Cricetulus griseus: one gene and its partner. The protein of the gene in region 1 interacts with the protein of each later gene in a pairwise test. Links are inferred from orthologs where the notes say so. Each region holds a gene or a part of one and is shown on either strand. Other genes may lie near its edges.

Region 1 (5,416 bases):
CAGCTAGTAGAGTGCTTATTCAGCATAACCAAGTCTTAGCTTCCGTCCCTAGTACCACAGAAAACTGACATGGTAGTCCATGCTTATCATCCCAGAGCTTGGGAGGTGGAGGTTGGAAGGTCAGGAGTTCAGGGTTATCCTCCTCTCCATAGAGACTTCCAAGCTAGCTTGGGCTATGTAGGACCCTGTCTTAAAAAAAAAAAAATAGAAGTAAAATACAAGCAAATGACTGTAACAATTTGCAAAAAATAAATCACAGCATCGATTATAAATTATGCTGATGGGCAGGAGGTGCACCCTGCACATTTTAGGAAGAGGGTGCCCCCTGTAAACCTTGGCTCTTGGTGCTTAGGCAGGGGGAGCACAAGATTGACACCAGCCAAGACTCTGTCTTAAACACAACACACAAGAAAAAGCAAGACCTAGAAAATTTTATAAAATATGTCATCACTGCTTTTAAATTCTTCAATAAAACTTATTATACTTTGGTAAAATACACATTTTGTATTAAGGAAATTTTTAAAAAGGGAAATGATAAGTATTCATCATGATGTTACCCATGGTTGGAAGGAAAGGGAGGGCCTGGAAGAGGACTTAGTGGATAAAGCCTGCTAGCTTCAGTGTGAGCCTCAAAGCCTATGTAACTGAGGGGAGTGGTCCTGGAGAGATGGCTCAGAGGTTAAGAGCACTGGCTGCTCTTCCAGAGGACCTGAATTCAATTCCCAGAATCCACATGGCAGCTCACAACTGTCTTCAACTCCAGTCCCAGAGAATCCAACTCCCTTTTCTGGCTTCCATAAACACCAAGACACACAGGTACTACACAAATATATATGCAGGCAAAACACCCATAGACATAAAATAAATATATATTTTTAAAAAGCCCTTGTAATGGATGGAGAGAGCCAACACCTGAAAGCTGTCCTCTGATTTTCATATAGACACAGTGGCCTGTGTGTGCCCGTCCCTGCACATAAAACAAATAGATGTTTAACAAAGAAAAAAGTTAATCTGAGTCTGGTGGCACACACACACTTAATCCCAGTACCTGGAAGGCAGCGGTAGCCTAAGAATTCTGGAAGGCCTTTATAGACCAGACTGGTCCCAATAAATACATTAAAAAAAAAAAAAGATGATGATGAAAGAGCTGGGTGGTGGTGGTGCATGCCTTTAATCCCAGCACTCAGGAGGCAGAAGCAGGTGGATCTCTGTAAGTTGGAAGCCAGCTTGGTATACAAAGTGAGTGCCAGGACAGGCTCCAAAGCAACACAGAGAAACCCTGTCTCAAAAAACCAAAACAAAAAAAAGCCAAAGTTGGAGGTAGTGGTTCATGCCTATAATCTTTGCACTTAAGAGTCAGGAATATCGTCACAAGTTGGAGGTGAGCCTGGTCTACTTGCCAAGTTCCAAACCATCTAAGACTACATAGTCTCAAGACACAAAAACAAAACAGAAAAGGCCTGGTGTGGTGTGTGTCTGTGATCCCAGAGTTAGGAAAGGCAGAGGCAGGAGGACTGAGGGGGCTAGCCTGAGCTATATAACTAGATCTAGCTCACATAAAAGAAAAAAAAATGAGATAAAACCAAAAGCAAAGGAAAAATACAAGAGCATATTAGTGGCTGTAGCCAGCTGTAGAGCAGAGGACAAAGTTACAGCCTAGAAGTTTAGGGCCACAGAGGTGGCTGTGCAGTCAAGAGAGTGAGTAGCCCAGAGTCCAGATTCCAGCACCCCTGTAACCAACCCGCACATGTGTATACACATGAACACACACACACACACACACACACACACACACACACACACACACACACACACACACACACATTCCTTTACAGTGTGAAAAGATCAACTTTGGAATGAGATTTTGCTTATAGATGTCAGTTTGCAGTCCCTATCTAGCCCCCCGAGAATCAGATTTTTGGCTTTGGAGGAATGCCACAAGAAAGAAAAACAAGATCCTCAAGCCCTGAGGCAAGGAGAATATTAAGGGGAGGCCTTAGAGATTAGATGAGGGGAGAAGAGGGATGTAACAAATACGGGAGCAACCAGAAAAGAGCGAGAGAGAAGAAACCCTAATATGAAGAAGGGAGGGGATAAGATGAGAAGAGAGGAAAGAGGGACTGAGCTAAAAGGGAAGAGACTCAAGAAGAGAACCCATGCTGTGCCAGCCTCTGAGTCGGGCAGTTTTAATGCCTAATGCCATTCTTTACTGAACTCACCTCCTGTGCCAGCCTCTGGGTCAGGAAACCTAAGGCCGTTCTCCTAATAACTGCAACTATAAGGCAGTTTGATTTCTGATTGGGGAAAGATGAGGTAAGTGCACCAGCTGCTAAGTGAGGAAGGTCTAGCAGTGAAAGCCTGCTCTTTATAATCTCTCAGCTAAAATAGGGGAGTCAGAGGACACTTTGAGAGATGTGGGTGGAGAGAAACAGAGCTGGAGTAAGATGGGGTCCTGCTACTGGCCTGGAAGGCTGGCCATAGTTTCTTTCTCCCAGCCAGCCCTTTCTTTCACCCCTAGACACTCTAACGTGAGGGTCAGGTTAGAGCTCCTGGGCAGCTGGGGAGTGGGCGCAAGAGGGGATCTTCAGCCACTTGAGGCTCCCTCTGGAGTACAGGACACTAGCTGTGGAGCCAGGGGGTCCTCTCAGGCCTCTATCCTTATATTCTGGAACACCACTCATCAGCTCATCCAGAAAGCTGAGCAATTGCTGCATCCTCTTTCCTTCCCTTCCTTTCCATCCTTCTTCTATTGCTGAGATTAAACCCAGTGACCCAGCATCACCTACACTCAGGCTCTGTATTCTTTCTCAATCGCTATTCCTGTTAAGATCTCATTTGAGAGCTGCTGTGTCTCTCAGGGTACCAGATGCTGAGTCTCTTCGCACAAATAATAAGTTCAGTTCCAACTGTGGGAAATGTGGGGCACACAGAAAGAATCCGTCATAGTCACCCAAGGGACAGAGGTCTTATAACTAAGGGGAGGGGACAGAGACCCATATCAATACAGAGAGACAGCCACGGAAAAGAAGAAACAGTGCTACAGAAAGAGCTTCAGGGGACAGCACACACAGACTCAGGGAAGCAGACAGAGGGTCACAGAAGATAGATTCAGACAGGCCCAGATGGAGCCAGAGCCAGGTCCGGGCACAGAGAGACTCGGCAGCTGATGGAACAGAAGAGGCACAGAGTGGCTGCTGGCAGGGGAGGCGGGCGAGCCAGGCAGTGGCCTGGCTGAGGGGTCTATCTGTCATACCGGGTAGGAGGGTTGGCCACCCTGCTGCTGCTGCTGCGGTCCCAGGAGGGTGTCCAGTTCCTCGTGGCTCTGCAGAAAGGGGTCTTCCTGGGAATCTGGGCATCCCGATGAGTACAGTCTCCTCCTGAAACACACATTGCCACCACTGCCCTTGTAGCCAGTAGTCAGTGATGGGCACCAGGAACGAACAGTTCCTCGGCCCAGCCCTGTTGTTTGCCCCCAGCCCAGCCCTTCCTGTTAGCATAGGCACAGCTCAAACTCAAACTAAGCTTGATGCTGGCACAGTTGACTTCAGACAAGAGCGGCCCCTGCTGGTGCAAAGTGCCCTCCAGGAAGGAAGGGGGAAGGGAAAGCTGAATTCCCTGTTGTTTGGTGGCAACCTCTCCTCTTACTCAGCTATGGTGAGGCCAGCATTCATTCCCTCTGCACCTGAGGTACAGAATTAATGTCTGTTCATGAAGGATGGGTGACACTTTAGAATCGAGAGAAACTGTAGGCAGGCATCAGGAAAGGGATTCACGGCACTCTGCCTTCAGCCAGGCCTGTGGGAAGGCATTGCTGTTCACTGAATTCCCACAAAACCAGTGCTGGGACAAAGCCTCAGGGAGCATCTCCCTCAGCCAGCAAACCCCCTGTGTCCATCTCCCTCAGCCAGCAAACCCCCTGTGTCCATGCCCAAGAGCTGAAGAATGCTGAGGGGTTGTCTAAGGAGACCATACCCAAGTCAAGAGACTATGCCTTGGCGGTAGTTGGCCCTGGAGATGACCGCTCATACCGGACTCACGTGGCTAACCCCCTCCCCTGACCTTCTCTTTTTTTACTTCCTCTATTTTGGGGAAGTGGTCAGGGATTTTCCAGGAGATAGGGAAGACAAGGGTCCCTCTCCCCAAGCCTGCTAAGCATGTCTAGAGTCCTGAGCAAAGGCAGCTGTCCCCAGTCAGGCATGGTGGCCTATGCCTGTCATTTCAGCACTTGAGAGAGGGTTAGGAGAATCAGGAATTTAAGGCCAGCCTGAGCTACCAGAAAACCTGTCTCAAAAATAAACAAAAACCAGACAATCTAACAAACATAAAACTATAGCTGTTGCCAGGCAGTAGTGGCTCACGCCTTTAGTCCCAGAATTCGGAAGGTAGAGGCAGATGGATCTCTGTGAGTTCAAGACCAGCCTGGTCTATAAGAGCTAGTTCCAGGATAGCCTCCAAAGCCACATAGAAACCCTGTCTCGAAAAACCCAAAAAGACCAGGCATTGGTGGCGCACGCCTTTAATCCCAGCACTCAGGAGGCAGAGGCAGGCAGATCTCTGTGAGTTCGAGGACAGCCTGGTCTCCAGAGAGCAAGTGCCAGGATAGGCTCCAAAGCTACACAGAGAAACCCTGTCTCGAAAAACAAAAACAAAGAAAAACAAAAAACTACAGCTGTTTTTGGCTGCAGCTGTGTCCAGGACGTGGGTCTGCCTCGGCCTGGAGCCAGTAGGGTGGCAGAAGCCTGGGGAAGTACTACCCACGTCCCTCAAAGGGCCAGTCAGTACTCCTTCCCACCACCACCCCACCTGCCTGGGTGATAATGGGAAGGAGTGAGTACCACTGTGGAGAGCCCTGTTTTAGAAGGCTGTGTCTGTCCTCCCCAGGGCTCATCACAGGCCAGGCTGTTATTCTCCAAGAGAGCTTTGAACTCCTCTTCAGAGATCCTTGTCTCTCCAGAGAGACCACAGGGGCAAAGATACCAGGATATGCCTTTCAAACACTTTCTCCAAGGTTTAGAGATGCTGAAGGGAGGCTCAGGAGGTCCCCTGAGGACTCACCTGCTCACAGGGTCCTGGAACTCCTTGCCAGGCCCCCAACTGTGCCTTTTGAAGGGATCACTGGTGTGGCTATGGGCTCTGAAAGCCCCAGACCTTCTAAGGGGTGACGTGTGGAAGCCATCGCTGTCTTCCTGTTTTCCCTTCTTCCCCTCCTCTTCCTCATCCTTCTCTTCCTCCAGCTGCTCTTTGGGTTCAACTGCAGGCAGGCAGCATTGAGTGTGGCCTTGAGGCTCTGGGTCTTCACCTCCGAGGGACTCCTCTGGGGCTGATCTGTTCATGGAAGGTACACGGAGACAGCTCTGAATTGAGAAGAAAGAGAAGAGTGAGCAGAATTCTAGAACCTTGGAACCAGATGTAGAAC
Region 2 (4,588 bases), on another chromosome or scaffold:
AGCAGGGCATGGTGACACACTCGTTGAAGAGAGTAGTTGGTAGAAGCCGAAGAGTCTTTAGCTAAAAGCTTGAAGAGGTCAGGCAGTTGTTGGCAGTATAACACGGCACGGCAGTTTAACTGTCTTCAGCAGTTATGTTACCTGTTTCAGGATCCTCTGTATTTAAAGGGTCTGGTAGAGTAGCTACCGAGATTTCACCTCTCCCAATATCCTGACTTGCCCCTTTCCCTCAAGCCCCTTCTCACTGAGGGACAGCTTACCTTGGAAAGCAAAGGATGTAGTGTTTAAAGTTCAGGCCACAGTTCCATGGTCCTATGGTCACTCATCCCTCCTTGAAGCCCATATCAAGTCCTGAATTTCCCCAACTTTTTCCCATCATGCCAATCTCTCCTGCCCAGACTGAGAAAAACTGCCTAACACCTTCAACTAGCTGGATCCTGCTACATGAACCCAACAGAGCCCCAGTTTTATTTGCGTGTAATTGGACATCCAGGTTACTAGACACCCTGGAGAAAATCTTGATTCACAGTGTAGCTGATCAACTCTTGAGACCACTGCCGCTTACAATTCCACTCTATTACCTGGAGCCTGCTGACTACCAATATAACCATTCTCTCTCTTCAGATACCTGCAGTAAATCTGAATCCAAGGCCAAAGTGAGGCAGAAAAAAACAGCAATGGAAAAAAGGCAAGAATGACACCCAAAGAAAGATGTGGGATTGAGGTCTACTTTCAAGATAAAAAACAGCATGTCTGTAAACTTAAGTCACTTACAACATTTATATAGCATCAGGTGCTCAGGTGGTATCTGAGTGTCAAATATGGACACCTCTTTATAAGAACTCTAATGGGGGGGGGGCGGACTGGAGATGGCTCAGCAGTTAAGAGCACTGGCTGCTGTTTCAGAGGTCCTGGGTTCAATTCTCAGCACACACATGGCAGCTCACAATTGTATGTAACTCCAGCTCCAGGAAATCTGTCATCTTCACACCAATGAACATAAATTATTAAAAAAGAATGCCAATGAGGTAAACCCTCTACACCCCATTTTACAGATGGGAGCACAAAGGTCCAGGAAGTAGCTTTATCCAAAACTACAAAGCAGTAACTTGTGAGTGGGAGAGCCAGGACTAAAACCGTGACAGGCAAAGCCCGAGTTCATGATCCCACTATTCTAAAACATATGACACAGATGGGAGAAATGCCTGACCTGGTTGAGTCCCAAGCCAGCTTAAAGCAGGTGGCAAAAAGTCATGCAGGTGACTGCTTGAAATGTATTGACACCAGATCCACCCAGCAGCGGCCTCTACCTACCCTTCTGGCCTCCAGGCCATGAGCTCCGGGGCAAGGCGGGCCTCACACCCCTCCAATCCCACTTACACACAAGCAGGCCAAACAAATGGGCATGACCTTTATTTCCCTCTCCTAGACTGATGTCAAAAAAGGCAAGTCAGATATACTGTAGACAGAGTAAGCCCTTCTCAAGCAGTCTGTAACTCAGCACTGACCCCATATGCCCTTCATTCTTCATAGCATCCCGCATCCCAGGGGGGAGGGGAGGCAGGACTCCAGTGGACTCAAGCCTTGCTGGCATGTTAAGTGTCACACAAGCCCTTCTTACAGAAGGCACAGAGAATCAGGTCTAGAGTACAGTCAGGCTCAGCAGGTCTTCAGGACCGGGTGTCCCGAGCCCTTCTTCGGGGTCTGGGACCACAGCTAGGTATGGAGCCCAGGCCTGGGGGCGCTCCCGGGGGTTGGTAGCCACATTCACTGGGGTCCAAGGGGTCCCGACTGAGTAGCACCCACACTGCAGGCACGTGACGTCGAACTGTGAGGGGGTCTAGGCCTGTGTCTGGTGAGGTTGGGACCCAGCTGTCCTCAGTTTGCAGGAAACGAAGCTTGGTGAGTTGGTGGAGGCCTGGGACCCGCCGTTTGACAATCTCTGCACAGCTGACAGCCTTCCCAGCTGCCCGGCCAGAGCCTGAGAACACCACATGCCTTGTGCTCCCCCCCTCCAAACGACCCAAAGCCAGTCCTAGCAGGTTTCGGATTTTGCTCCCATCTCGGACTCGCATTTCCAGGGTGTCAGGAGGTAGCTGGGGCATTGGTGAAGATGCTGGGAGCTCTACAGAGCCAGCCCTCCGGTAGTGTTCCATTCTGCTCCGGTGGCCTTGGTGAATCTCTCTTGCTGTGCACTGGGGGAAGCGGTCAGATGAGTGTCAGGACTATGACCAGGTCCATCCTCCATCACTCCCTCCAGGATATACCCCTCACCCCAAGGCTGGAGAGTCTTACACACGGAAAGAACCAAACTCCCCCCACTCCCCAAACCAGGCTATCCGGGATAGGGCCATGCTTCATCAGCTCAAGCTTTTCAGGGCTAGGCCAGACCCCTCCTCACCCACAACTCTCTAAAACAGGAGCCTTTCCTCACTAGGCTTCCAAGGACTCGGACAAGCTCCTCTCACTGTGTGCTTCCAGGAAACAGAATCAAGACTTGGCCCCAGGCTGCCTGGGGCACAGCCACGAACTCTCACAAAGTACTCCCTAAAGAAAGAACCGGCCCCTCCGGGCTCTCGGCCGGCTGAGTAGACTTCATCCTTAGATTACCAGGGTTGGGGGGCTTGAGCCAGGCCATTCGGGAACTCGAGAGTGGGGGCTCGCACAGACCACTGCTCGGACCAAACATGGACGGTCTGGCGGGCTCCCCGGTCGTGGGCCGCTGTCCCAGGCAGCAGACATCCCCTTTCCCCACGTCTGAGTACCCAGGCCCTGGGATTTGGCTCTTACCACTACCGCCCGTCCACGCTCGACCCAAGATGGCGCGCAGACCGGGAGCGCACGGGGCCGCGGGAGCGCGCACGCAGGGGGCGGGGCCTGAGGGAAACCCGGGACGCCGTTGGGCTCAGCTGAGCTGGTACCCGCAGCTGGCCCGCATCCCGCGGTCCGCGGTGATGCCGAAGCACGCCAGAACCCGCAGAGGGCCCTGCCCGGGAGAGGAATGGCTATCGGAGGAGTCCTGAGCATGAAGAATGCGAATCTGTGCCCTTAAACGATGGATGGTGCGCGTCACCTGTTGACTCACCGCATCGGTGAAGGAGAAGCTGAAGCATTGGTGGATACAAGCGGGCGAGACCCTTAGTTCTGAGCTTTGTTCTCATCCTGGGGCACTGGACAACCCTGGTAGTCTTCAGAAGGGACTAAGCCATAACTTGTGCACAACTCATTGGCCATAGATTGGCGTATAGGCTAGGAGGATCCGGTAGTGGGGGCAACAGATACCGTGACCTTGGGAAGGGTCTGTACCCTGCACCATCATAACGCGTCAGGCGCGGGGGTAGGAGGGTGCCCACGGAACCTAGTACAGTACTCAGAGTGAAACAGGTTCTGCAACATCTGTCCAACATGTTGATTAACCACCGAAATGGCAAGAATTGAGAAGAGATTAATTAACTTGGTAAAAACTCGTAGGAAGTTCTGGGAAAGAGCCGGGAACTATTTGTTGGAATAGTCTAGGATGACTGCTAGTTTCAGATCGTTTTGGACAAGCTGCATTTTGCGTGCCAGCAAAACTACAAATTGGTTGGTCTACAGGCAGTTGAAGGAGCCGAGGCACTCCCTCAGGCCACAAGAGGGCAGCATACACTTGGTGGAGCGCGGTGCTTAAACTGTTCATCCAAGCTTTCCCATCATCTGCTCCTCCTTCCCAGATCCTAAAATTCACTGCATCCAAGCCTCTTGGCTCCTCTTCTGGTATTCGGTAGACACAAGGCTATGCTGCCTTGGCTCTGAACGTCCCTGCTTGTTCCTCCATGATCATCCTGGCATGCTGAGCCCCACCTGGTAGGACTACCACTTTCTTGGTCTTCCCCCAAACCCTATACAGAAATGAGGTGACCCTACCTGTGCCCTCCTTACGTGCCGTAGGATCTGATATTTAGAGGGCAGTTGGAAAATGTGGGATAAATATACAATGCCCCACTGTATCAATCAGATGCAAGAGTACTACATCTTTCAGAAGCTCGACCAGGAGTAGTTCCAGGTCCCACCCTGATAGTGACAGCTCTCCCCTTCACCATTCCAGTTCTCACAGCCAAGCCCATCTTAGATCAGCAAGCCAAAACACACCTTCAGCGGTAGCTACAGTTTATTGTCATTGGAATAAATACACTGATGGGGAGTGCAAATCATGACTCTAAGGTAACCTGATCTCTGACCTCAGAGCCCCAACTGAGCAGACAGGTAGTCTTTGAATTGAATAAATACAAAGCTGTCTCTGCCTCACAAAGACAGGGTGGCACAGGGCCCTGGAGCTGGCCCCCCTTTCCCTGGCCTGGCACAGTAAGCAACTGTCATTCTTCTGCTGGCTTCACTTGCTTGGCAGCCTCTAGCTGGCAGAGTAGTTCATCCCACTGCACGAATTGCTTGGAGAGAAGCATTGTCTGGTCAGAAGTCAAGGTGACAACAGGAGTGTGAATGAGGAAGCACAGAGATTTGGCATGTGCCCAAAGCGGTGAAGGCAGGAGAGGAGAGGAGAGAATGGGATGGGCGCATTAGGGGCAGCAGAAACAGGCTTTGGGAGAGGGCC

The links. The genes of interacting proteins can lie anywhere in the genome.
Region 2: the proteins of Arhgef2 (region 1) and Rpp25l interact in binary tests that used the Homo sapiens proteins (3 or more experiments, as listed by UniProt). The two-hybrid records come from large-scale screens. The link is inferred for Cricetulus griseus from reciprocal best matches to the Homo sapiens genes ARHGEF2 and RPP25L.

The regions. Positions count from the first base shown.
Region 1 is NW_023276806.1:65,903,912-65,909,327, forward strand, and holds the start of Arhgef2 (rho guanine nucleotide exchange factor 2), read right to left. Parts: upstream 3,484-5,416; 5' UTR 3,254-3,483; intron 1-3,253. UniProt on the Homo sapiens protein: Activates Rho-GTPases by promoting the exchange of GDP for GTP.
Region 2 is NC_048595.1:100,887,492-100,892,079, reverse strand, and holds Rpp25l (ribonuclease P protein subunit p25-like protein), read right to left. Parts: upstream 2,780-4,588; 5' UTR 2,743-2,779; coding exon 2,611-2,742; intron 2,595-2,610; exon of another isoform or gene 2,402-2,594; intron 2,196-2,401; coding exon 1,671-2,195; 3' UTR 1,398-1,670; downstream 1-1,397. Other genes in the region: Dctn3 (dynactin subunit 3), read right to left, coding at 4,353-4,442. UniProt on the Homo sapiens protein: May be a component of ribonuclease P or MRP.